Ovis aries: one gene and its partners. The protein of the gene in region 6 purifies or fractionates together with the protein of the main gene of each other region. This does not show direct contact. Links are inferred from orthologs where the notes say so. Each region holds a gene or a part of one and is shown on either strand. Other genes may lie near its edges. The genes, in order: FARP2, DCAF1, C1H1orf226, UBR5, WDCP, PLK1 and CLSPN.

What was found.
Region 1: the proteins of PLK1 (region 6) and FARP2 purify together in Homo sapiens (affinity purification with mass spectrometry; 3 studies listed by BioGRID and IntAct, with this or other methods). This does not show direct contact. The link is inferred for Ovis aries from reciprocal best matches to the Homo sapiens genes PLK1 and FARP2.
Region 2: the proteins of PLK1 (region 6) and DCAF1 purify together in Homo sapiens (affinity purification with mass spectrometry; 3 studies listed by BioGRID and IntAct, with this or other methods). This does not show direct contact. The link is inferred for Ovis aries from reciprocal best matches to the Homo sapiens genes PLK1 and DCAF1.
Region 3: the proteins of PLK1 (region 6) and C1H1orf226 purify together in Homo sapiens (affinity purification with mass spectrometry; 3 studies listed by BioGRID and IntAct, counting the BioPlex papers as one, with this or other methods). This does not show direct contact. The link is inferred for Ovis aries from reciprocal best matches to the Homo sapiens genes PLK1 and NOS1AP.
Region 4: the proteins of PLK1 (region 6) and UBR5 purify together in Homo sapiens (affinity purification with mass spectrometry; 4 studies listed by BioGRID and IntAct, with this or other methods). This does not show direct contact. The link is inferred for Ovis aries from reciprocal best matches to the Homo sapiens genes PLK1 and UBR5.
Region 5: the proteins of PLK1 (region 6) and WDCP purify together in Homo sapiens (affinity purification with mass spectrometry; 4 studies listed by BioGRID and IntAct, with this or other methods). This does not show direct contact. The link is inferred for Ovis aries from reciprocal best matches to the Homo sapiens genes PLK1 and WDCP.
Region 7: the proteins of PLK1 (region 6) and CLSPN purify together in Homo sapiens (affinity purification with western blotting; 3 studies listed by BioGRID, with this or other methods). This does not show direct contact. The link is inferred for Ovis aries from reciprocal best matches to the Homo sapiens genes PLK1 and CLSPN.

The regions. Positions count from the first base shown.
Region 1 is NC_056054.1:376,891-380,390, reverse strand, and holds the end of FARP2 (FERM, ARHGEF and pleckstrin domain-containing protein 2), read left to right. Parts: intron 1-346; coding exon 347-367; intron 368-553; coding exon 554-636; intron 637-1,303; coding exon 1,304-1,416; intron 1,417-1,614; coding exon 1,615-1,778; intron 1,779-2,365; coding exon 2,366-2,473; intron 2,474-2,576; coding exon 2,577-2,728; intron 2,729-2,958; coding exon 2,959-3,028; 3' UTR 3,029-3,432; downstream 3,433-3,500. UniProt on the Homo sapiens protein: Functions as a guanine nucleotide exchange factor that activates RAC1. May have relatively low activity. Plays a role in the response to class 3 semaphorins and remodeling of the actin cytoskeleton.
Region 2 is NC_056072.1:49,405,488-49,408,987, reverse strand, and holds part of DCAF1 (DDB1- and CUL4-associated factor 1), read right to left. Parts: intron 3,125-3,500; coding exon 2,926-3,124; intron 1,495-2,925; coding exon 1,412-1,494; intron 871-1,411; coding exon 786-870; intron 1-785. UniProt on the Homo sapiens protein: Acts both as a substrate recognition component of E3 ubiquitin-protein ligase complexes and as an atypical serine/threonine-protein kinase, playing key roles in various processes such as cell cycle, telomerase regulation and histone modification.
Region 3 is NC_056054.1:113,541,098-113,545,381, reverse strand, and holds the start of C1H1orf226 (uncharacterized protein C1orf226 homolog), read right to left. Parts: upstream 2,801-4,284; 5' UTR 2,332-2,800; coding exon 2,227-2,331; intron 1-2,226. UniProt on the Homo sapiens protein: Adapter protein involved in neuronal nitric-oxide (NO) synthesis regulation via its association with nNOS/NOS1. The complex formed with NOS1 and synapsins is necessary for specific NO and synapsin functions at a presynaptic level.
Region 4 is NC_056062.1:75,041,825-75,045,324, forward strand, and holds part of UBR5 (E3 ubiquitin-protein ligase UBR5), read left to right. Parts: intron 1-1,613; coding exon 1,614-1,737; intron 1,738-2,354; coding exon 2,355-2,466; intron 2,467-3,481; coding exon 3,482-3,500. UniProt on the Homo sapiens protein: E3 ubiquitin-protein ligase involved in different protein quality control pathways in the cytoplasm and nucleus. Mainly acts as a ubiquitin chain elongator that extends pre-ubiquitinated substrates.
Region 5 is NC_056056.1:31,714,316-31,717,815, forward strand, and holds part of WDCP (WD repeat and coiled-coil-containing protein), read right to left. Parts: coding exon 2,280-3,500; intron 1-2,279.
Region 6 is NC_056077.1:21,880,673-21,884,695, reverse strand, and holds the start of PLK1 (serine/threonine-protein kinase PLK1), read right to left. Parts: upstream 2,801-4,023; 5' UTR 2,694-2,800; coding exon 2,292-2,693; intron 1,630-2,291; coding exon 1,461-1,629; intron 82-1,460; coding exon 1-81. UniProt on the Homo sapiens protein: Serine/threonine-protein kinase that performs several important functions throughout M phase of the cell cycle, including the regulation of centrosome maturation and spindle assembly, the removal of cohesins from chromosome arms, the inactivation of anaphase-promoting complex/cyclosome (APC/C) inhibitors, and the regulation of mitotic exit and cytokinesis.
Region 7 is NC_056054.1:10,698,991-10,702,490, forward strand, and holds part of CLSPN (claspin), read right to left. Parts: coding exon 3,325-3,500; intron 2,995-3,324; coding exon 2,840-2,994; intron 2,046-2,839; coding exon 1,819-2,045; intron 1,247-1,818; coding exon 1,135-1,246; intron 178-1,134; coding exon 102-177; intron 1-101.

The DNA of each region.
Region 1 (3,500 bases), on a different chromosome or scaffold from region 6:
CCAGAGGTCTCCTCAGGCGCGCAGGGCTTTGGCAGAGGCTCCAGTGCCTGGGAACGGCCACTCCGCTCTTTGTGACACAGTGGATCCTGTCAGTCAGCTTCAGAACGCCAGACCGTCCTGCATCTCTGGAACCACCTGGCTTGCTATAGAACGATGCCTTGTCTCTGCCTTTAGGTCCAATTAGGGAATACTTTTTCCTGGAGTTATTTAATCCCTTATCATCACGGTTAGTCTGTGTGGATTTTCTTTGAGTCTTTGTTAGGTTTTGGCACCACTTTATATCATGAATTGTCTGACTCTCTTTTCAACAAAACGCTCACCGTCTCTTCCTGTGCTTGACTTTCAGCTGATAGTGCTGGACCCGCCGGTGAGTAGCCGGGTGCCTGTGGCCCTCAGGTCGTCCACCTGGGTGGCAGGGCCCCAGCGGGGGCATCCCAGTGCCCCCTGTAGCCCCGGGTAGAGTCAGCGGGGGCCTGGTGCGCGCCTGCGTCCAGCTGCAAGCTCGGGTCCCACCAGCCCCGCTCCTGGTCCAGACCCCCCTCTCCGCCCACAGGTGGAGGATCGGGAGAGTGAGCGGTCTGTGCCGCACTGCTTCACCATCTACGCGGCTCGGAAGACCATCGTGGTGGCGGCCAGGTGAGGGCTGTCCTTCCCCGTCTGCCTGTGGGCCCATGCCATGCACGTCACGGTCACCGGGACACACGGCCCGGTGAGCACTGCTTCAGGGGAGCAGCTTCACCCTCAGTGGGAGCGTGTGGCTGCTGAGACCATCCCCAGGACGGCCCGGCACTGCAGGCTGCCCCCTGCCCCAGAGCTGGGCAGCAACTGGCCGCCTGGGCCACAGCGCAGGACCAGTGGACATTTCCCTGCCCCAGGTCACATCCCCGGGAAGGAGACCCAGGCTCTGATGGCCTGTGCGGGCCCTCCGTGGGGATCGGCACTGAGCTGTGCCCGGTCCCACGCCTCCCAGAGGAGGGCCTGGGTCCTGCCGCACCCTGTGGGGTCCTGGCTGGAGTCAGAGCACAGCACACTCACCTCCCACCAGGAGACCTTGGCAGCTTAACTGTGATCCAGGCTTCAGGCACCCATTTCTGCAACAGAGCTCTAAAATCCCGTGATTCAGGAACATACCATGATGTGGGCCAGCCCCAGCCAGCACGGTGGGTCAGGCTGGGCCACCAGCAGCCCTGCCAGCCCTCAGGACCTGCAGCAGGGGGTGCCTGGGCAGGGCAGGCGCCCCAACTCCCTGCCCCACTGCGGAAGGGGGCCCTGCGCAGCGGCTGAGCCTCAGGCCTGTCCGCAGCACCCGGCTGGAGAAGGCCAAGTGGCTGCATGACCTGAACGCGGCCATCGACGCAGTCAAGACTGGCAGCACTCCGGCGCCCCCGGCCTGCGTGCTGTGCCCTCTGCCCCGTGGTGAGTGCTAGCCGAGCCCCTAGACACCGAGGAGGCCTTCTGGGGGCGGGGCTGGGGGTCGCCTGGGCAGCCCACCCACTACACCCGCATGCCCTCCTTCCATGGGGCATGTTTAGGGGGCGGTGGGCATGGGCGCTCTGGCAGGGCAGTGTGTGGCCAGGGTTCCCACAGCCTCAGCCAGGGCTGGCCTCTCCCCAGGGTTCCCCGACGAGGCCTCTATGGAGCCGGAGTCCGGGGACGAGGCTGGTGGGGCCCGGGGCTCCGTGGTGGGAACAGGCCAGCTCCGCGCCAGTACCACCGCGCACGTGTGCTGGTGCCGCCAGACCAGCGTATCCAGGGCCGACCACAGCGCAGCCGGCGAGGTGCGGCCAAGCGCGGGCACCCCTGCTCTGCTCCCTCCCTGCAGCAGCGCGCAGCCTGGTGTGTCAGGCCCCTGGGCACCCCCAGAGCAGGTGGGGGCCAGGCCAGGGAGTGAGCAGGCAGCGGGCCAACTCGCGGGGACCCACCGGACAGGAGGTGACCTGGGTGCCCCTCTGCCATCTGTGCTAGCCCCAGGGTCAGAGGTGTGGGGCCCCAGCCTGAGGAGCTGCCTGCGCCGTCCATGGGCTCAGGCCTGGGGCCGCACTCGCAACGCCCAGAGGGATGGGGTGCGCCAGCGGGCAGCACGGTGGGCACCACAGCAGGGCACGCAAGCACCATGCCCCCAGCCTGCGGGTAGACGCCGCTGTGGGCGTCCCGTGGAGCCCCAGCCCTCATCCGGAGCCTCAGCCCATTCCCGTGTCTGTCCCGGGACGCTGGGGACAAGGAGCGCCGGGCTCGTCCAGCCTCTCCCTGCCCAGTGGACCGTTAAAGACAGCGCCAGGGCCAGGGGAGGCGCCCAGTCAAGCCTGGGGGAGGCCCTCCAGGGCTGGTGGTCCCGGGACACATGTCCACAGGCATTTCTCTTCAGAACCAGCTTTCTGGATACCTGCTGAGGAAGTTCAAGAACAGCAGTGGCTGGCAAAAGCTCTGGGTGGTCTTTACCAATTTCTGTTTGTTCTTCTACAAAACTCATCAGGTAGGCGGGGGCTCCACCTGTGGGCGCTGCAGCCTCACAGAACCCGCCTCTGGGTGGGCAGGGCTGGGCGCCTGCCGAGTAAGCACGCCCTGCCACCTTCCAGGACGACCACCCCCTGGCCAGCCTCCCGTTGCTGGGCTACAGCGTGAGCCTGCCCAGGGACACTGACAGCATCCACAAGGAGCATGTCTTCAAGCTCCAGTTCAAGTCCCACGTCTACTTCTTCCGGGCCGAGAGCAAGTACACGTTCAGGAGGTAACTGCAGAGGCGCCGGCTGTGCCCACTGAGGACTGGCTGCGCACTCCCTGGGTCTGGAGGGGCTGCCGAGCGCTGCTGCTGGGGTTTAAGGGGCCCTTCCCTCTTGACTTGGGATCGTTCTTGGGAAGGTGTTGGGGCACAAGCCCGCCGATCTGAGGACCAGAGCACGCCCCGCCTCCCAGGCGAGCAGTTGGTGGGGCGGTTCTGACCTCTACGCCTCCTCTCAGGTGGATGGAGGTGATAGAGAGAGCCAGCGCCTCAGCTGGGAGGGCCGGGACCCCTGAGGAGGAGGCCTGAGGCCCACCCTGCCCCAGACGCAGACAGCCGAGCAAGCAAGGCCAGCACGCACCCCACGACTGCTTGTTCCCCCAGGAGACTGGTGGCAGGCGAGCCTCCGGCGCCACCTGGCAGGGAGGGCTGCCCTGGGCCCCGCGAGGCGCCAGGAGGGCAGCAGGGGGAGCAGGCGCGCTCTGTGCAGGCAAGGCTGGCGCTGCCCCGCCCTCAACCACCTGCCCTCCTCTTCCTCCTCCTGGGCCGGGCCTCCCGTCAGGCTGGGTGATGTGAGGGGTCTAGGCACAGAAGCCTCTCTGGTGCCCCCGGGCCCACACTTCTGAAAAGTGGACAGCAAGCCCCTCTAATTTATCCCAAGAAGTGTACGGTGCTCATGCGCCGAGTGGCTGAGAATAAAAGGCTTCTTCATGCTTGGTCCCACGTGCTGCCTTGCCCCGCCAGCTCTCCGGCCAGCGGCCGCTCGTGCCCACCTTGGGTG
Region 2 (3,500 bases), on a different chromosome or scaffold from region 6:
AGCCCAGCTCCACTGCAGCACTCATGTTAGCTGGAACACCACCCTCCTAACTGGAAAGCCTCCTCTTGCTTCTCTCACAGAAACCAGACTCACACTTTAGGAATTTTACATCCAATCACATGCCTTCTTAGTCACCCTCCAGTGTCCATCTCATACACAGGAAAAGCCAAAGGTCTTAAACAACACACTGCTACAAGAGGCTCCAGGGTATGCCCCCACTGACTTTGGTTATTATCCCCTCCTTCTCCTTCCCACCTCCCAGGAATGGGCTTTTCCCTTGCCATTCTGCATCTCAGATCACTTTCCCCAAGGTATCTGCATGACGCCCACGCTTCTTTCAAGACATTACTTAAACATTATCCAATCACTGACACTTATTTCCTGGATGAAAAAGAAGTCCCCCACACCACCACCAAGCATTTACTATCTCTTACCCTGCTCTCTTTTCCTTGGTAGCACTCACCACCTAACACACCATATATTTGCTTCTTTTTGTTTATTGTCTCCCCATATGGATCCACCAAGACAGGAACTTTACTTCATAGTGTTTCAAGGTATCTTTTGTGCTAATGAAACAGTTCTCAAACTGTAAGATTGCTCAGTCGTTTTACATTTTTCCCATATAGCCTGAAACTACTTCATTACAATTCTAGATTTTATCTGGAAAGAATCATCACTGAGTAATTTCTAGTTGCCCACAAGACTTAAGTAATCAGACTCAGTTCAAAAAGTTTCAGTATAAACAGACAAATCACCCTGAAAAATGTGGATTCTTAAATACTTACATGGGCGATGTCTCCCTTCGTGCCTATGACCCGGTCCTGAGAATGCTTACTGAACTCAACATAATGATCTTCTGTAAAGGAATGCCTATGAACAAGCAACAGAAGTATTGCTGTAACTGATCTTCAGGACATAATTATTTAACTGACTAAAAAGAAAGTGATTCTCAGCCTCTGGCCTAACTATACTCACCTGAAGATTCTCAGCTCCCAAAGAGGAAAAAATTGTACACAAAAGATTAAAAAGAAAATTCCCTCCATCAATTTGTCCAAGAAGATTCAAAATAAATGAATGGGAACTACTTAGTTATAACAATGGCTAACAGGGTACATATGCCTCTGTAAGATGCCCCAGCAAAGAGCGCCACTATGAGAAAATAGAAAGATGTGCCCTTCTGGATCAGTGAAGGGTCTGCTGTCTGATGGGAATGTATATACTTGGTAAGAATACCCAGGAACCAAGAAAATAAAAAATCTTATTAAACATGTACCACAGATGAGGAAGAGAGAAGTCAGCAATAAACCTTACAGCATTCCTCTCTTCCCTCAAAAATGCTCTGTGTCAAAGAATCAGATGAAGGGGATAAATTGTAAAACAGAGACACTGAACTATAAAAGTAGATACATACTTCATATCAAATACTGATTTCATTCCCCAAAGTGCAGACAGAGGCTGGCTCCAGGTAGCCGATGTCAGCAGCAAGGATCCATCCTAAAAGAAGACGGGAAGCCCAATATGGGTAATCATGTGTTTACATAAATGCCATCCTTCATTAGCATTGTAAAATATAACATATATTACTGGATTATAAAGAAAACAGAAAAACTTTTAGGAATCAAGAAATGGTCAGAAGTTGCTAAGATTTAAGTAATATGTACCTATGTCACAAAAAATCACTAAATTTGAGAATATTTAATCCTCCTGAACTAGTAACATGAAATACAATAGTTTCAAGGGTGTGGTGGGTGGGGGATGATGAGACTTAGATGTCAAACATGGTTTCTCCTTTCTTAATATTTGGCCTTATTTCTCCATCTCTCTCATCTGAAGTATCAGTAAACTGAAAACAGCTGTTAGACTCTGTAGCTAAGGATTCTCAAAAGATTTTTTAAAGAGAAAGCCCAATAAAGATCAACTTGCTTTATTTTTCTTCCCAGCTCATCACCAAATTTACTCAATCTGTATTCCTCATGATTCCCCCATTATAATTTTTTCAGACTTTCTGTTTTGGACTGGGGTAGAGCCAATCACCAATGTTGTTACAGTTTCAGGTGAACAGCGAAGGGATTCAGCCGTGCACATACGTGTATCCCCTCTCCCCCGAACTCCTCACCCATCCAGCCTGCCGCACAACAGTGAGCAGAGTTCCCTGTGCTTTACAGCAGGTCCCTGCTGGTGATGCACTCTAAATGGAGCCACCTCCTTCACTTTAGAATGAGGGAAACTAGCCTTGTCATCTTAACAGTCTTGACTTGTAGAAACATCAAAAGCATTGATTTCATCCATAGAACAGTACTAATAACCCAGTCATATTTACAACGGATAACCAACAAGGCCCTACTGTAGAGCACAGGGAACTCTGCTCCGTGTCATGCGGCAGCCTGGATGGGAGGGGAGTCGAGGGCACAATGGAAGCATGTATGTGTAAGGCTGAGTCCCTCTGCTGTCCACCTGAAGCTATCACAACACTGCTTCTCAGCTATACTCCAATATAAAGAGTTAAAATGAACAGTACTACTAGACTGCCAGTGGGATCACACAATGCTTGTTTTCCTAAAAAATCACAGTACTTACAGATTTCCTTCCAAGACAAAAACTTTTGTGGTCATAGTTGATAGATAATCTCCATTTCTAAATAAAGCACATTAAAAATCTACCCACCTATCTTTAGGTCTGGAAAACATAAGGGCCAGATAGTACATACTTTGGGTTTTGCAGGCCACATGGTCTGTGCTGCATACAACAATACTCAACTCTGCCGCTGCAGCACAAAGCAGCCAGGACATACATAAACATCTGAGTATGGCTGTGTTCCAAACAAACTTTACACACAAACACAGGAAAGCGGTCAGCCCACACACCTGCAGTTCACCAACCTATCCTAGAAGCATGACTGAGCACAACCTAGGAGGGGAGCTTTACCCTGGAGGGCTCCAGGTGTGTGATGGCAGAGTTGTGACAGTTGTAGCTGGCCTCTTCCTGTCCACTGAACACGTTGTAGAGCTTCAGCTGCCCGGTGCAGGTGCCCAGCATCAGGAAGCGCTCTCGTGCAGAGAACGCACAGCAGGTGAGGCCACTCTCATCCTCGTTGGCTTCCCGGAACACTGAAATAGGACGGAACCTGAACAAACAGAAGAGAATCAGAGACAAACAATATGCAAAGACTCGGAAGAACAAAACTTTGTTAGAAGGACAGAAAGAAAAACAGCCTTTCTGTTTCAAGCGGGTTCTTCCAAATTATCAGTGACCGTCAGTGGTTCATCTTCATTTTACAAGAGAGAACTGGACCTTCACTTAAAAATGTTAACAATAACAAAAATTCCCATGTGAAAAACCTGAGATCCCACAACTTGTATGTAAGATTTTTTGAAAAATATCTATTGGGCTGCGCTGGATCTTAGTTGTGGCATGTGACCTCTTAATTGCGGCATAGTTCCCTGACGAGGGATTGAACCCAGGCCCCCTGCATTGGCAGTGTGAACTCTTACCTACTGGAC
Region 3 (4,284 bases), on a different chromosome or scaffold from region 6:
AAAGAGTGTGGCGTGCATTTAACCCTGAAATCCCAGTGATCGTGCACTTCCATGGACACTGCTCAGGAGGGATGTGAAAACCAGCCAGACGAGGCACTTGCCAGATGCTCTCAGGAAGAAAAGCGTCTACTTCCACCTCTGCTCAGGTCTCAGCTAACATGATTTGAATGTACTGGTGTCCAGCATCGATTACAAACAGCTGGGAGTTAGGACCCAGTTCTCAAAGTCAGCCCTGCCCTTTCTTCCCCACTTCACCATTCTCAAAGCAGAACCCTTGGTGTGCTGCACCCCAAATCTGTAATGGGAACACAGCAGGGACCAACTGTGGTTCCCCCTCGTCTTATCAAGCACCACTGTGTATGAATCCAGGGAAGTTACCATAGGAACCGCACCACCAGTGTTTCTCCAATGTTGGTCCCAATCACCTGCATTAAAGCTCCTGGAATGCTCCTTAGAGGGGCACAGTCCTGCTCTCTCCCTAGATGTATCAGATTAGAATTGGGGACGGCAACAATCAGAGTTGTCAACAACCTCACCTGGTGATTCTTATGCACGCTAGGTTAAGAGTCCTCGCTAGGACCAAACTAGCAGAGACTGTGAGAAAAGAATCAAAAGGTTAAAAACACTTTAATCCTGATCTCTCTTCTGCCGCCCAGCCTTGCAAAGCAGAGTAATGGTGAACCAAAGAAGACCAAAGCCAACTGCCTAGTTCATGCATGTCCGAGAAAATTAAGTCATGATGTGATGAAAACTCATACCTTAAAATTTAAAAACCTGATCACCGAAGCAACAGGCCCGGACAAAAATTAACCCATCTGATCTGGTATCAAACCAACCAGATCTATTCTGAGAGAAGCAAGATAAGATCTTGGCTACAGCCCCACTCTGGTCCCAGCCATACCCAGTAATTCAGTTCTGCATTCCACTGCAGGGCTTGATGTCTAGGGGAACAGGGGGTGTCCTCCTAGCTCTAGCAAATATGGTTGGGGGAAGGTTATTTAGGAAGCGGGAGAAAAGGTAAGATTTAACATCACTAGGAGAAGGAAAAAAAAACAAAACTGAGAGATAACTGTGCACTGGACTCACATCAGACTCTCAAAAAGATGTCTCATGAATTGAAGGAAATAGCCACCTGATGGAGTAATCCTTGCCTGAGATGCTTAACACCTTACCTATGAAGGAGAAAAGGGGGACAGAGAGTAAAACTGCCTCCATGTCGAACGCATTACCTTTCCAAAACCAGCAAGACACAACCGACTAGGAGGGGTGGTATTTTCCGTCACTTGTCAGTGACAGGCACACAGTAGGTGCTGAGCATCCTTGAGTCTTGAGGGGAGGGCGTCAAGAAGCACGAAGGAAGAGCAGTAGCACTCCTCCCTTGTGATGGGCAGGAACCCCGGCTGCAATCTCAGAAACCAGAACTCCTCACTCTGGGAAGCGCATGACAGGGGGGCAGCCTTATTCACACCTGATGGTGCAGTTCAGAGGCTTCCGCCCCACCCCCTCTCCCAAGGACGGACCTGGGGCTCCGAGCTGAAAATTCCTGTTGCCGCGCCCGCCTCCCCCCGCCCTCACCGATAAATTCTTCAGCCGCAGTCCCCTACTAGATGCTGAAACTTCACATTACGCCACAAAACTAGCAACCGGGCAGCTTTCACCACACCTCCCCCTTCAATGACTGGCACTTGCAAAGGAGTCGTGGCTAATAAGGCATTTAGGAAGTGACTCTGACACCTGGCTGGGGTTACCAGGAATCTAAAAACAAACCCACCCCTGTATTATTTTCTTCAATCAGGAAGCAGGTATTCCCCTTATAAAAGACCTTTCTGAAAGCACCTCTCCCACGGGATCCCAACAGGTAAATGACACCAAAGCTTCCCTAAAGCGATTCTAAAGAACCAAGTGCAGGCTACGCTCCCCGACTGGCTTCTTCTCAGAAGGAGGGATCAGGGAAGTAACTCAGTGAGTCCTGGGTGGGTAAGGAGGGGGCAGTTTGCAGGTGGGAGGAGGGGGATGAAGCAATACCGCTCAAACTTTGCAGTTACTCTGTAGCAGTTCTGGGCAGGAACCCGCGGAATTCTATACAGAGAAGGGGAGTCATCCTCCCTAACAGAAAGGCCCCCAAATCAGCCTAACCCACCACCAGCTCTGCGTCCGGGATGGCTGCGCATCCCATCCGCTCAGACATGCCCCCTCCGGGACAGTCCCTTCCCCGGGGCCCCTCACCTTGGCCTCGAAGCAGATGCCGTGCTGGAAGGCGTCCTCGTTGTGCAAGGGGATCCGCAGGTCGTGACCATCGTCCACAAGGTTGTACTTGGTTTTGCTGGGCATGGTGACCCGCGGTGGACCGGCTCCTCCGGAGGCGGTGGAGGCAGGAAGGAGCTGGCGAGACCGCTGGGAGGGGAGGCGGGAGCCGGGGGCGGCGGCGCGCGGAGGGGGCGCAAGCGGAGGGTCGCCGGGTTGGAGGCGCCCCGGCCGCGCGGCGGCCGTGGAAGCCGGGACTCGGAGAGACGCCGAGGGCCGGGCGGCACGGATGCGGGCGACGCGAGCGGCGCTGTGGCCGCGCAATTCCTGCCGGCGAGGAAGGCGGCGGGGGCGGCGGTGGGAGCGGGCAGCGCGGCGCCCAGGCCGGGGGAGGGGAGCGGTGGGCGCGCGGCCCGCGCTGGGACTGGGCGCGGCGCTGGCCCGGGAACAGAGGCGCGGACAGCCCGGGACGAGGAAGAAAAGGCGGCGGCGGCGGCGGAGCTGGGTGCCTGTCACGGAGACGCCGGATCAGCCGCCGGCGAGCGACTCCTCCTGCGGGGCGGGCCCGGGCCGGCTCCTCCCGCAGGGCGCCCAGGCTCCGCCCGCCGCCGGGCCCGCCCCCGCGCTGCCCGCGGAGCAGGTGAAAGTCCCCGGGAGCGTGGCGCCCGGCTCTGCCCGCGTCCCCGGGCTGGACCCCGGGAACTTCGCCCTGACCCTGGACAGCCGGTGTCCCAGGAACGCAGGCTCAGTCCTGTTTTTGTTTTTTACAGTCAGAGTCTGAGCCAGGCTCCTAATAGTTAGCAGCGGCGGCGCCTTGGGTTTTCTGTTTTTGTTTTTGGAGGGGGGAGGGGCTGGTGTTTATTGTTTTGTTTTTAATGTTTTACCAGGAAGGCCCAAGTCCTGGCCCGTGTGTATTCAGACCATTAATTCTGAGAGTTTCCTTTCTTTGGAGAATCAAGACTGCACCCAAATGGAGGACGATCGCAGGTGCTTTGTGTTCGTTCCTTTGAGCTGTTTTGTGACTTGTATTATTGGAGGGTTGTGGGGATGCCTTTGGGGGTGGTTTTAGTGTTAATGTTAAAACCATAAGCCTCATGGAAATGGAATAGGCCGATGAAGCGTACTAAGGACAAAAGAGCCCACAACGTTTCCATTTTCTTAAACAACCTAAAGCTGGTTGTAGACAAAATGGGCTTCCAAGTTAGTACTCTTCCTATCTTAGGAAGTGCTTCAGTTCAATTTGCTTATTGTTAAGAAGAGACCCATTCACTTTTCTCCTTTACACCAAGAGGTTTTTTTTGCCATGCAAAAATGTGCAAAGGAAGGGCGGGGCAAAGGGATAGTTAGTGACCAATTATGTATCAGACCCCATGGGTAGAGGAACATGGGTTAATACTACCCGCGAGTCAAAAGTAACCGGATAGTCTGGTGCCAAAGCTAGCCCAACCTGAGATCACTGAGAGCCAATGGTCAGCAACTCTGCTGAATTCAATTTAAACCTACTAATACCTTGTGGACACATCCACCCGGGACAACTTGACATACAGACACTATTGTTGTATAGTCAAGGCCCCAAAAGCATCACAATAAAATTACTTCCAAGAGGCATGTCTTCCTATAATATTTCTGTGATACATTTATATAAGAGAACACATTATTGTCATAAATCTATTTCTTATTTTGCCCCATAGTGCTGAAGTACAATTGCTCTTTGCTATATGTTGCCTGATCCCTACCTGCTGAAATTACTGGTCAAGATGTAGCCTCTTCTGGGATATCTCCTTATATGAAAGCAAGCTGATGACTAAAACAAATTAATCATATACCTTCTGCTGTATAAACTTTATTATATTCATAAATATTAGTAAGAACCAAAAATAATTTGCACGGAGGAAATGCTCCACTAACCTTTTTATAAATACAGGACATGAAAGTCTAATCAGGCATGTGTGACTCTTTGAATGTCACCGTGGTTTTAATATGCATCCTAATGCCCTCTCTAAAACCTGGCACAGGAACTCAGCAACTAAAAGGCAAGAC
Region 4 (3,500 bases), on a different chromosome or scaffold from region 6:
TTACTAAAATCTAAAACTAAACTAAACCTGAGGTATAGGCACTCTGGTTATGTACAGGATCATTCGTTTAACAAATGGTAAAGATTTTATCTTGTTTGGAACATGTGAAAAGCACTTTAAAAACTATATGTCTGTACATTTAAAGTAATAGACATATAATGGAGGGGGGTGCGATTTGGTTGGTTTGTTTGTTTAGAATGGCACTTTTTATTATACCAAAAAAGTAATCAGGTGAGAAAGTTTACTTTAGGCTTCTGTGCTTCATTACTTTTGTCTTTTTTCTTACCTTTAAATATAGCGTGCTAGAAGGCCAAGCTGAAGAATGAAAAGACGTCTTACCTTTCTCTGTGTCCAAAGCTTTGGGCAAGGGGGCAGGTTATTATATAATCTAAATAACAACAGAATGATGGAATTTTAAAATATTCTGTGCACTCATACAGTAGTGGTCCCCAGCCTTTGTGGCACCAGGGACCGATTTTGTGGTAGACAGTTTTTCCGTGGACTAGAGTAAGGATAATTTAAGCACTTTACATTTATTGTGTACTTTATTTCTGTTATTATTACATAACTCCACCTCAGACCATCCCACATTTGATTCTGAGGTTCGGGGATCCTTCTTATGGGATAAGACTAAAACAATTCAATTCTAGTTACAGCATTGATCTTAAATCTCATTTTTCCATTTGTTTAATAGTTTACCTAACTAGGCTCTAAGTTGGCTGAGTCAGAGTGTTTAGCAACTGAAATATTCTGATGTCTTTTATCACAGTGCTTCTCAAATTTTAACATGCATGCAGAACTCTTGGGTGTCTTACTAAAATGCAGAGGCTGATTCTGGAGGTCTGGGTGGGGCCTGAGAGTCTGTATTTCTTGTGGACTCGCAGATAGGACCGTGCCAGTACTGCTGCTCTCAAGGCCGCACTTTTGAGTTGCAGAGTTTCTAAGATGTGCAAGAGACGTCTTAAACATCTTTTATAATGGAGACATCTGTCCATTCTTGGCTGTTTCCAAGTCACATTTTTAAGAAAGCAAAATTACTGGGTTGGCCAGAAAATTCGAACTTTTTGGCCAACCCAGTATTTTGCCACCCCATCTTTTGTTATGATTTATTTTATAATTGTACTTCTGAACTTATTTTTTTCCCCACACTCATCAGCAAGTCAGTGGTTAATAAGCTGATGCAAAGTAGGTCATGTGAGTCAAGTCTCTTAAAGAGTAGGTTACTTGTAAATAAGGGACTCTCCTTAGTGGGTGAATGCTGCTACCAGAGCCTTTGGAAGTTGAAAGGTTTAGCAATGGAAAAGGAAACATTGTCTCTGTAGAAATATTTCAGTGGGGAGAACGGGAAAAAGTATGCATTAACACAGACTGGAAATGCCTTACTACTAAAAAGTAAAAACCATTCTGAGATTTATAAGTTAAATCTTAGGTAAGATGATTTCTTTGGGGCTACACATTTTCTGATATACCATAGATTAATTATTGTTGCTTTCCAAGAAACATTTGGTCAGATTGGAAAGAGCAGGTTGTGAACCACGTTGAATAACTCTGAGGGGTCTATGCTGTCTGTCAGGGTGGTGGCCGCAGCGTGCTCACAAGCTGCTTCCTTACAGCTCCAGTCAGTCTCAGTCGTCCTACATCATCCGGAACCCACAGCAGAGGCGCATCAGCCAGTCACAGCCTGTCCGCGGCCGGGATGAAGAACAGGATGACATCGTTTCAGCAGATGTGGAAGAGGTGGTTTCAGTTGTTGTAACTGTGGTACATGAGAGGCTTTTATTTGGGAGGGAAGGGGAAAGTAGTCACTAGATGTTTTATTAACGGTAGCTTACCACTGTTACATGTATATGCTTCTACCTTTTAGACTTCGGTTATATGTTCTCATTTGTAGTTACACATATTAAAATATGTTAGTAATCCTTGTTTCATTGGCTAATGAGAAATTAGAAATAAACGTAACTCTACTTCAGGGTTCACAGAAAAGATATTCTCAATGTTAAAAATGTTTTAGTAGTTTTGTGCAGTGTATTCAGAGGTAGAGAGGCTGCTGCATATTTATTATATAAATTTTATAATTGCCAAAGTTTAAAAAACATATATTCCCCACACAGTTTTTATATTTCTGATTTTAAGCTTTTGTGTATGGATAGTAATCATAAACTTTGGGATATGTTGGCATAATTTTTTATACCAAATTTTTGCTAGCAAATGAAAAATTTCAAAACTACTTAGTGTTACAGTTCCCTGTAGTTAGTGATCTTTGTATTTTAGTTACTAAATGCTGTGGGGGAATACTGGTAGAGATGTGGGTTTATTATGTACTTTGATTGTCTACAAATAAGATCTGGATTTAGGTTGAGGTGGTGGAGGGTGTGGCTGGAGAAGAGGATCACCATGACGAACAGGAAGAACATGGCGAAGAAAATGCTGAGGCAGAGGGACAGCACGATGAGCATGATGAAGACGGTAAGCAGGTTATTGGTGAAATTACCTGTATGAGAAAACCAGGTGCCTTTAAAGAGGAACTAATACAGAGGAAATAGTACTTAATGTATAGTGAAACGTTCAGCATACTTCTGCCAGGGGATTCTGTAGTATCTGACAGACTTTTACATACAGAAATATAAATACTGGATTAGCCAAAAAGTTCACTTGGGCTTTACCACATCTTCAGAAAACCTAAGCAAGCTTTTTGGCCAACCCAATGTATAGACTTTTATATGTTTACATGCATAAAATAATTTATCATCTCTCCATTTACCATTTGGTTTACACTTTCTATTTTCTTAAAAGTCTTTTAAAATCAAAATAATCATAACCAACATAACATTTGAAAATTGAGGTAAGGGAAGACAACCCATAATCCCACCCAGACGCTAACAGTTTTTACTTTCAGTCCTCCCCTGTACTGCCCCATTCTCATGCGTGTCTTTCATATTATGTGTAAATTTTTTATTTTGATTTTTCATGTAGGCCTTTTTGCTCCATAGCCGTCATCCTTCTTAATAGCCATAGGATAGACTTCTGGGGATCACCTTTATTGAGGTTTAATTGACATGCCGAAAACTATACATGTTGAAAATTCATAACTTAGTATGTTATGACATTTGTGTATATACAGTGAGATACAAAGGATACATGTTTATTAGCCTTCTTCCCCTCTTGGAATCCCAATATGTAAAATTGATGAAAATGAAGCAGTGGCCCTAACCCTGAGCTCTGTCCACTTGTTGAAGTCCTCCTGCCTAATATTTTTTACCTAAGGCTATGCAGGCCAAATTTTGTGTCTGTGTTCACTGAGTACCATGATTTACCTGGTCATTCTTATGCTAAGTGGGCAGTTATGCATACTCTAGCATTACCAGTCCTCTCTGCCCCGCTCCCTTCCCTTCCCACCCTTACAGTATTCTGTCTTATCAGCCTGTCTTGATCGATAGTGTGTTTGTACCTTATTTTCTTGTTATTTAAATATATTTGCTAGGGAGCGACATGGAGCTGGA
Region 5 (3,500 bases), on a different chromosome or scaffold from region 6:
CCTAGTGCATATTCCTGAGAAAGCAATGGCACCCACTCCAGTACTCTTGCCTGGAAAATCCCATGGGCAGAGGAGCCTGGTAGGCTGCAGTCCATGGGGTCGCTAAGGGTTGGATACAACTGAGCGACTTCACTTTCACTTTTCACTTTCATGCATTGGAGAAGGGAATGGCAACCCACTCCAGTGCTCTTGCCTGGGAGAATCCCAGGGACAGGGGAGCCTGGTGGGCTGCCGTCTATGGGGTCGCACAGAGTCGGACACGACTGACGTGACTTAGCTGTAGCAGCAGCAGTGCATATTCTGGGCTTCTCAGGTGGCACAGAGGTAAAGAATCTTCCTGCCAATGCAGGAGACATGGGTTCGATCCCTGGGTTGGGAAGATCCTCTGGAGGAAGAAATGGCAACCCACTCCAGTATTCTTGCCTGGAGAATCCCATGGACAGGGGAGCCTGGAGTGCTCCAGTCCATGGAGTCAGAGAGTCACACACAATTTAGCCATGGAGGACACACAGTGCATATTCTGTACTTAAGTATGCAACTGCATATGTCTAATAATGTACATACCTTAATTTTAAAATGCTTTACTGCTTAAAAAAATGCTAACTATCAACTGACAAAAGATATATCTATATATCTTTAAACAAAGATATATAAGTCCACAGTAATCCTATCAGTGTGGTACTGTTAAAGTTTTAGACAAAGACCAGTATTACAGTAGCTGCAGTAAGAAGTAACCAGAATTAGATCTCAGGATATGTAAGTTTATATATAAGAAATTTGGTAGATCAAGTTCAGTGGGATAAAGATGCATTTTTAATAATGTCGGTAGCACAACTACTTACCTTTCAGAAAATTTTAATCAATGATTAAAAACATAAATGTAAAAACTAATGTAATAAAATAATACAAGAAAACCTAGGTTACTATACATCTATCAATTTCTTTAGAAAACCTCTTGTAAACTGGTAACTCAATAGCAAATAATGAGCAAAAGGCAATTCACACTCAACTGACCAAAACACATGAGGATATACTCAAATTCATTAACAGTAGTGAATTACCAGGGGCTTCCCAGGTGGCACAGTAAAAGAACCTGCCTGCCAATGCAGAGGACACAAGAGACAAGGTTTGATCCCTGGGTTGGGAAGATCCTCTAGAGTAGGAAATGGCAACCCACTCCAGTATTCTCACCTGCAGAATCCCATGGACAGAGGAGCCTGGCAGGCTACAGTCCACGGGGTCACAAAGAGTCATCCATGATTAAGCATTCATCATAGCCAACAGTATGGGAAAAACAATTAATAAAAGTGAAATACTACTTCACATTCATCAGATTGGTGAGGATGTAAGGAAAAGGATAGTCCCATATGTTGCTGACGGGCATGTGATGATTCATTGTTTAGTAAAAAGTCTTTGAAAGGCAATCTGGCAACTCTATTAAAAGTAGAAGCATATACATATTATATATATATACTCTTCAAATCTACACTTCCACTTCTGGGAACCAAGCCAATAGAAATAAAAGTATGAATATAAATAGATACATATGAGAATACTATTGCAGCACTATTTGGAGTGGCTAAGAACTGAAAACAAAGTGACTGTCCATCAACAAGGGAAGAACTGAATAAACAGAATGCTGTCAGCATGAAGTAAAGAATACACCATATGACCCCATGTTTGTAAAACAATGAGAAAATCACTACCCCAACCCCTATATACCTATGAATTAAGCAAAGATCTGTGTAAGATTATATGAGTACGAAGGAAAAATATGCAAGGATCCACATTAAGCTACTAGCTAAAAGTGGATTACAGGGAGAAGCAGGACCAAGTTCAATGGGAAAGTATTCATGATAAAATAAGATATTATATGAGCCCATTTAAATATTTTATGTTTGCATATACAATAATACATAGGTACATTAAAAAATTGTAATGACTATAACCTTTCTTATAAGTGGAAGAGAGCTTGCAACTGCATATAAGAAAAGGTCTTCTCAATGAAACAGCATGATTTAAGAATTTGTTTTCTAAACATAGATTGCCAGAATGAGTGCAAGAATTCATGTCTTCATACCATGCGCATGATAAAGTCATGGTGTATATTGCTATGTGGGCCTATCCAACCAACCTGAAAAGGTATAAAAACTTGCCTGAACATAACATGCCCAGCTCAGTGAAGTTCAATTAGAACCCCACTGCCTCAACAATAAATTTCTCTTGCAGCACATACTGGCTACAGGAGCCAGTGGTAGTTCCCCCAGAGGAGAAGTTACCTGGCAAGTGATGTGAACATAAGGCAGATCCTGAGAGAGTGGGTACACTGGAGAGGATTTCTTTCCATTGTGCAGAAAGTTGCTGAGTTCAGAAAGATGTCGCTGCACTTCACTCAGGTTCCTAGATACAACTTCCAGTTCCTTAGACAGCTGGTACATTTCCTTTTCCCGTTCTAAGTTAGGAGGTTCTGCGGTACTGGTGTGGGCTGGTGTGCTGCTGGGTCTGGGCAGTGTTACTGACCAGTTAACAGGCTTGGCATCTAGAGTTTCTAGGACTGTGGAGCCATCACAGATGCTGGATGCAGGACTTTCTATTTCTTCAATAAGGGTTCTTCCAGGCCGTCCACTTTGACTGCTGCTATTAGCTGTGAACAAGAGCCCTCTGCTTTGGTGACAAAAATCCGGCGAAAGATCTTCAATTAGCTTTTTTATATTTGTTTTATTTATCAGAGTACTGAAAGCAGAGTTACCACTCTGGTTTTCACTCAGTGTTACTGGAGAGTCTTCTTTCAGCATTACCTCTCTAACAATCAAACGAATCATATACTGATCAGATTTTGAAGAAGGAAGAAATGCCGAGTCAGTGGACTTTTGTCTTCCCACCAAAATTAATAGTAATTCATCTGTCAAGAAACATATGCCTTTTGGTCTTTCATTACTTTCTAACTGAATCTGCTGGATGTTTGGCATTAATAACGGAATGACAGAATAGATAAAAATTACATTAGATGTATTGGAAGCCACTGCGACTGCTTGTGCTTTGAGATTAAATGCTATTAGATCAGGAACCAGAATGCCTGGAATGATGACTTTTCTGTTGCAGGTAACCTCCTTCTCAAAGGTCAAAAGGACCAAATGTGAAGAATCTAGGCCAGTTCCTGTCAAGTAGTCTTTTTTTCTTAGACAAGTAAGAGAACTACCCTCAGATTTAAATCTGTTGAAGTGGATATGAGTTAGATCCAGAGGCTCAGAAAAGGATGACGACACTGGTGTTTCAGAATTTGTTTCAGAGGAAAGTGGATCAGTAACTGGTAAAGCACGCAGACAAGTGTCTTCACCACTAGGGGGAACGTCAAAAGTTCCAGAAGCATTTAACCCACAAATCTTGTCCAGCGGAAGCTCAGTGGCTATAGCGACCTGTGAGTCCACAGTGGCCCCGATTGAGCGCACGTAGCTGTCCACATCAAAGACGGGACAGAGGGAGCACCTGTGAAGAGTCTT
Region 6 (4,023 bases):
GAGCTATGTAATTAGGAGTCCCGCACAGGGTCTTCTTCCGTTCCCCGTCATACTCCACTTTGGTTGCCAGTCCAAAATCCCCTGGGACAGAGGGAGGAAGAGGGAGGCTCAGATGCCAGCTTCTGTCGTCTGTCAATGCAGACAGCTGGTTCAGCTGGTAACCATCAAGAACCAGGGTCAAGTGATCTCTCAAAGCCTCTAGTCCTTGTGTACAGCAAGGACTAGATTCCTGTTACCCAGGAATCCTCCCACCATGCTGGCCCTAGGGAAGGGCCTCCCAAAGACTCTCATCACCCCTCCCCTTAGAAAGGAGGGGTTTACTTCTAAAAGGGAACTGACAGGGATCTGCTAAGTCGCTTCAGTCATGTCTGACTCCATGTGACCCCACAGACAGCAGCCCACTAGGCTCCTCCGTCCCTGGGATTCTCCAGGCAAGAATACTGCAGTGGGTTGCCATTTCCTTCTCCAACACATGAAAGTGAAAGTGAAGTCGCTCAGTCGTGTCCGACTCTTCGTGATCCATGGACTGCAGCCTACCAGGCTCCTCCATCCACGGGATTTTCCAGGCAAGAGTACTGGAGTGGGGTGCCATTGCCTTCTCCGACTGACAGGGATAGCAAAACTCAAACACCTTCAGGGATTAAGCAAGTAAATGTCAAGATGGCTACTTGGCAAGTTTGTGAGGAAGTGATACGGAGGGGTGGGGAATGTGGCAAACCATAGGGCATCTAAAGGGAACAGCTGCTGTTCAGTACAGCAAAGAGCTGTCTTGAGGGAACGCTACCCCTGTACTGCTGGAGCTCTCGAGTGTTTAAAAGGAGCTCCAAATTCAAAGTTTTACATCAAGGCTCTCAGTTTAAAAAAGTGAAAATGAGGAGCGGCTTCCGTGATGGCTCAGTGGTAAAGAATTCACCTGCCAATGCTGGAGAAACAGGTTCCATTCCTGGTCGGTGAGGATCCCATGTGCCACAGAGCACCTAAGCCCATGTGCCACAACTACTGAACCTGTGCTCTAGAGCGCTGGAGCCACAACTGCTGAAGCCTGCGCTCCACAAGGAGAAGCCACTGCAATGAGAAATCCGCACATGCGACGCAGAGTAGCCCCCACTCACCGCACCAGAGAAAGGCATGCAGCAGCGGAGACCCAGTGCAGCCGAAATAAGTAAATTGAAAAAATATTTTTAAAAAGTGAAAACAAATCCAAATTCTTAAAAAAAAAAAACAAACTGTATAGAACACACTGCCCCCCTCAAAGCACATCTGCAGACAAGACACTGGTTTGTAGCTCTTTAAGTTCCTGTCCTAAGAGAGGATTCTACAGCCAATCAACAGCCCAGACTTCCTACCATCCTCTTCCTCTCTCCCTTGTCTCTTTCCAAATTTCCTCTCCCTCACCCTCCCTCCCAGCTCCTCCTCATTCCCACTGCATGTCAAATGCCCTTGCAGTCCCAGCTCCTTACCTATTTTCACCTCCAGATCCTCGTTCAGGAAGAGATTGCCCAGCTTGAGGTCTCTGTGAATAACGCGGTTTCCGTGCAGGTACTGGCAGCCCAGGACGATCTGCCGCAGGTAGTAGCGGGCCTCGGGCTCCGTGAGAGCTTTCCTCCGCTTGTGCAGCTCCAGGAGAGACTGGGAGCAGGAGGGAAGGAGAAATGGGAGCCGGTGCTCAGACCCAAGGCAGGGAGGGAGTGTCATTAGGTAAAGGCAGCCAGGACGCTACTAACCATTTCTTCAGGACAACTGCGATCCAGACTCCCCCCCCCCCCAAAACCAGGCCGCAACAGTTCATAGCAACCCTCTCCCACTGGCTCCCTCCCAAAACCCTTACCTGGGACCCCTCTCTCAGACCCCTCCGGAAGCTCAGAGACCCCAGTATCCCGGTCCCGGAACTCTTGGCAGCAACAGGTCCCTTTCCTGCCCCTCCCCTCCCCCGGAAGCTCCGAAGTCTGGCTCCAACTACCCTCTGCCTGACCCAACCCTACTCGGGAAAGTGAGGGTCCGCAATATCCCTTACCTAGCAACTCCAAAGCCCTGGCGTCCATAAGCAAGGTTCTCCCGCACCTCCCCCAATCCGCCCAACTCCTAGCGTTCAGAAGCCGCCTTCCCTAGAGGCCCCAAGTGCCGAGAACCTTCCCTCTCCCCAAGACTTTCTCCATTTCCAGTTCCAGGTTCCCAGCACCTCTTCCCTAGCAGCTCTGAGCCCCGGGGCGCCCCTTCCCCAGCAGCTCCGGTTCCCAGTGCCCCAACCCCTGACGCCAGGGCAGTTCCAGTTCCCCAGCAGCGACACTCACCCTCCGGCGGCAGAGCTCCAACACCACGAACACGAAGTCGTTGTCTTCGAAAAAGCCGTGGAAGCCTACGACGTGCTGGTGAGCGAGGCTGCGGTGAATGGATATCTCCATGGACATCTTCTCCTTTTGGTGCGGTTTGAGCAACAGCGACTTAGGCACGATCTTGCCCGCGAACACCTCCTTAGTGTCCGCATCCGAGATCTCAAAGCACTTGGCAAAGCCACCCTTCCCCAAAAAGCGACCCCGTAGATAGCGCCGCCGGCTGCGAGGGTCCACTAGGACCTCCGGAATCTCTTTCGCCGGCGGGGCGGCCGTCGGAGCCCCGGGAGCTGCAACTCCGGGCGCTTTCCCTGGGTCGGCTGGTGCCCGCCCCAGCTTCCCTGCAGTTGCCGCCGCACTCATGTTCCCGGAGTTGCTCAGCGGACCTAGCAGGGTCTAGGCAGAGGCTTGGCACGGCTCTGCCTCTCCTCGAATTCAAACGCGGCGCCGGGAACGTTACAAGAGCCTACGCGCTACTGATTGGCCGCGGGGATTTAAAATCCAAACCCGCCCGCCGCGCGGCACTCTGGGAGCGCTCGGCACTGCAGCCGCCTTTAAACTCTCACCCAGGCCCTGGGAGGAGCTTGATTGGCAGGGATGGCGGACGGAAGACACGTGGGATGCCTGGGAAACCAAAGCTGGTGTGGGGCTGCTGAGACCCCGCCCCAGAAGAGGGTGCGTTCAGGGTTTCTCCTTTCTCGACGGCAGGGGAAGCTCCTGCAGTCCGCGAGGACCTCCTCCAGGAAGCTTTTCCCAGCACCTTCCTCCATCCCCACCTCGCCTTCTAGATTATAAACTCTGAGAATAGAGACCTAGAATGAGAGACAGCATGGGGGAGCCCTAACATCCGCCCCGGAAGTCACCAGCTCTCTTCCAAATCACCCCATAAACTAAAATCGAAGTCTAAAGAGAATGCTTGCCAGGCAAACGCATCTTCCAGACAAACCCCCTACTCTTCTTCAAATAACAGCAGGGGCCACCAACATCACCAACACCTGGGAGCTTGTTAGAAAGCCAAAGCTTCAGGCCTCAACGCAGACCCCCCCAATTCAGAATCTACCCAGTGATTCCCACACATATTGAAGTTTGAGAAGTACAGTACCAGAACCCCACCACCCCCGCCAGGGTCATTCTGCAAGAAAATTGTCTGGCTGGCTCACTGCTCTATTTCCCAGTGCCTAAAATAGTGGACCCTCAAGTGTTTTGTAAGAGGGAAAGATGACAGGTTGGCAGAATGCCTGGCAAACTGGTAAGCCAAGGTCAAATTTGGCTGCAGAGGTGTTTTGTTTGGTCTTTCACTTTTTAAAATTTGGATTCATATACAGGAGTGAAAAATCAAGACAGCTCACATAAAAATGCAACTTTGAAAAAACTATTAGCTGTTGCAACTCTATGCTTACTTAACATACCTTCCCAGTTTGTCAGAGTTCCCTGATAACCCTCCTTTGCCCCTTTGCCTGTCTGGCTTCCATAGATACTTAAGTGGCAACCCTGAGAATCACTCAAGTTGTAAGCCCAGCATCCTATGATGTCTTTGCTAGGAGTCAGCAAAAGTCATATCAGTTATCTCTTTACATAACTCCCAATAAACTCAGAGGCAATGAAGACATCTTTCCTACCCCATGTCCCAAGCTCTCAGCACAATGCTTGGCAAAAAGGAGTGACTAAAATGCTTTATAAATAAAAGGGAGTT
Region 7 (3,500 bases), on a different chromosome or scaffold from region 6:
CCAAACAGACTTCTCAAGAATTCAAACTACAAAACAAACAAAACTCCCCAGCAGCTATACACGGAGTTCAGTTATGATTACTTTGTTCCCTTCAAACTCACCTCATCACTATCAAACTCATTATCATTTGGGACAAGCCGAAAGTCTCCAAATTCCTCCTCTTCACCTTCTTCTTCCCTAAGATGCAAATCAACAAATCCATACACAAGTTGTTGAAAGCCAACTATAAGCAGTCAGCCAACTTAGGGACCGAAAATATCTTATAGCCCCAAGAATCTCTTCAAAAACAGGAAACAAGATATCTTGCCTTTCAAAAAAAATTTTTTTTCCAAACTGTGATAAAATACATACAACACAAAGTTTGCTATCTTAACCATTTTAAGTGTACAGTTCATTAGTGTTAAGTACATTCACAGTGTTATCCAACCAACCTCTAGAACACTTTTCATCTTAAAAAACTAAAACTCTATACCCTTTCAATACCAACTCCTCATTCTTACCGCCGCACAGCCCCTGGCAACCACCTTCCTACTTCCTGTCTGTATGAATTTGACTACACTAAGACCTCATATAAATCATACAGTATCTGCATATTTGTGAATGGCTCACTTCACTTAGCATAATCTCCTCACAGTTCACCCATGTCTCAGCATGTATCAGAACCTCCTTTCCTTTTAAAGGCTGAATAATATTCCACTATGCATGCACCCACTTGGGATGCTTCCACCTTGTAACTATTATGAATAATGCTGCTAGGAACATGGGTGTGCAAATATCTACTAAGAAACCGTGTTCTCAGTTCTTTTGTGTATATACCCAAACGTGGAATAACTGCTGGGAGTGAGGAAGTATTTAAAAAATGGGGTTTTGGTTTGTATTTCCTTAATCACTAGTGATGGTGAGAGCTTCCATGTGCCTTTTCTTGCCTTTTTTATCCTGTTCACAATCAACTAAATGAAAGCATTAGAATAAATAATTTCACTGTTCAAATATGAGACTCAAACCCATTGCAAGACTCTCAGACAGGATATGAAGCCCCTAAGATGACCATTTACTGCTAAGCCCAGAGAAGCTACCCCTGTACTTTATCAGAAGGTGGAACTTGCCAAATTCCCTCAGATCACTGGGACTCACCGGTCTGTTGGGAAAGAGCCTGAACAAAGAGCGAGTGCTTCTTCCATTGGATCACCCAGGCTGCTCTCCTTCTCCTGCTTATTTAACTCTGATGGATCCAAAGTAGAGACATCTACATTACAACAAAGAAAAAGATTTGTCACCGAGAACTGACAGCTTTATCCTCTTTCCCCAGCCATCTGAAGACATGCCAGCTCAACACAGTTCTAAGGTAAGCTTGCCAAAAAGAGCTCACCATCCACTCATTCAGCAAATCCCTATTTAGTGCTTACTATGTGCCAGGCACCAGGGAGACATCAGTGAATAAAACAAAGATCCCAGCTCCCAAAGAGCTTACATTCTAGCAGAGGTGTGAGAAGGAGAAAGGGGTGCACAGGTGGAAGTAATAACTTAGCATTTATATGAAGTTTACTCTGCAGCAGACGCCGCTCTAAGCTTTGCACATATTCTAGCCATAAATGACAAGTCATATGGCCAAAGTTAAAGCAGTCTTAAGGTGATACTTCACCATCCTAAAAAAGGAAGAGCTCTAAATGTTAGGAGCTAAGCAGTGAATTCAACCTAGGTTCAAGAATCCACCATGGCTGTTTTCTGTGAACATTTCACCTGAGATTAAGGGACTTCTTCACATGGACACTGACGGTATTTGGGCGGGTGAGCCTTGCTGCTTTGTTGGATAATTACCCTGAGAAGTAAATTTTCCTGAACAAAGATCCAGAAGTTCCTCCATGTTCTCTTTCTTGTCACTCTTCCCAGGCAGAGGCTTTTCAGCCTGAGATGCAAATTTCCCAGTACACAAATCCAACAGTTCATCCATGTTGGCATCCATGGCGTTCTCATCCATACTGGCCAACGGCAACCGAGGCTTCAAATCTTGGTATTGATTCCTGTGGTTTCTAACATTTAAGAACCTACAAGCCCAATGAAGAGTGTAAGAAATGCTTCAGGAAAAAAAAAAAAGTAGTGGGGGAAAAGCCTGAACTCATTTCCAAAAGAAAAGTTAGAAGCTGAATTCTGAACCAGAAGATAAGAGTGTCAGATTTTAGCCTGTGATAACCTTAAGAGGGAGGGGGATGTTTATGAAAGAAGGCTATTCAAAAGACAAAGGGTAAAGGCTAATTTGGGGCTTCAGATGGTGCTAGAGTAGGGCCTGGTGTTATGGCCATGTAATGTGCCACAGAGGTGTCAATTCTCAATGCCACCCAAAATTCCTACTGTAGTGGGACAAAGGTCAAAGTGTTAGTCACTCAGTCGTGTCCGACTCTCTGCGATGCCATGGACTGGGGCCCTCCAGGCTCCTCCGTCCATGGAATTCTCCAGGCAAGAATACTGGAGCAGGTTGCCGTTTCTTTCTCCAGGGGATCTTCCCGACCCAGGGATCAAACCCAGGTCTCCCGCACTGCAGGCAGATTCTTTACCACTTGAGCCCCCAGGGATATGGATACAGGGAAATTTGATGACCTTATAAGAGTTATGCAGGTCTAATAAGGTAGAAATTGAAGGATCAGAACACTAGCAAGGCTATTTACTTTTTATTTTCTAGACAGACTTTGTTCAGACTTGTAGAATATAATACTAATGGTCTGCACACCTCTCTTTCTCAGAAGGGAAAGCACAGATGGAGTGACAGAAGCTCGCTTTATTTTTAAACAAAATTAAGCAGTACCCAGCACAATCCCACCCACAGAAACATAAAGCTACCTACCCATCTGCATCCAACAGTTGGCTCTGAGTGTCATCTTCTAAGCAGAACTGGAAGTCTCCTGCTCCTAGGAAAAGTGTCTTAGGTTCTGGGGAGGCGTTATACAGATCTTGGGAATCCTCTATGGGAAGTGAAGGCTCAGACAGCTTTCCTGAACTCTGGCACCAAAACAAAACCAAACAAAAACAAAACATTTTACAAATGTCATTCACTGTCATGACAACAACAGAAGCTGCTATTTGTAAAATCTAATCTACTCTCAGGCAATTGCAGTTGGGGAGGACAATGCATAGCCAAGGGAAGCATAAAAAAAAAACATCCTCAAGAAAGAAAGAACCCTGGATGAGGCTTGTTTTTAATACACAAAGGGGGTGGATTTTTAAAACTGAACATACATAATGTGGTGGGAGTTTTTGGCTTGGACACACTTTATTTAGCAATGTGGGAAGCAAAAGGGGGAGGAGATTAGAAAACCATTACCATCTCACCTTAGAGGCTGAACTGACCAAACTGGCTCGAAATAGCCCTGGGGAAGGAGATCTGAATCCTCCTGCTGTAGGGAAAAGACTGGTCCCGCGGCCTGTTTGTCTGTTACAAGGCTGATAGGATGGAAGTGTGGAGCCTATCAGCTCAAAGCTGCTATTGTGGCTGCTCTCCTTTGTCA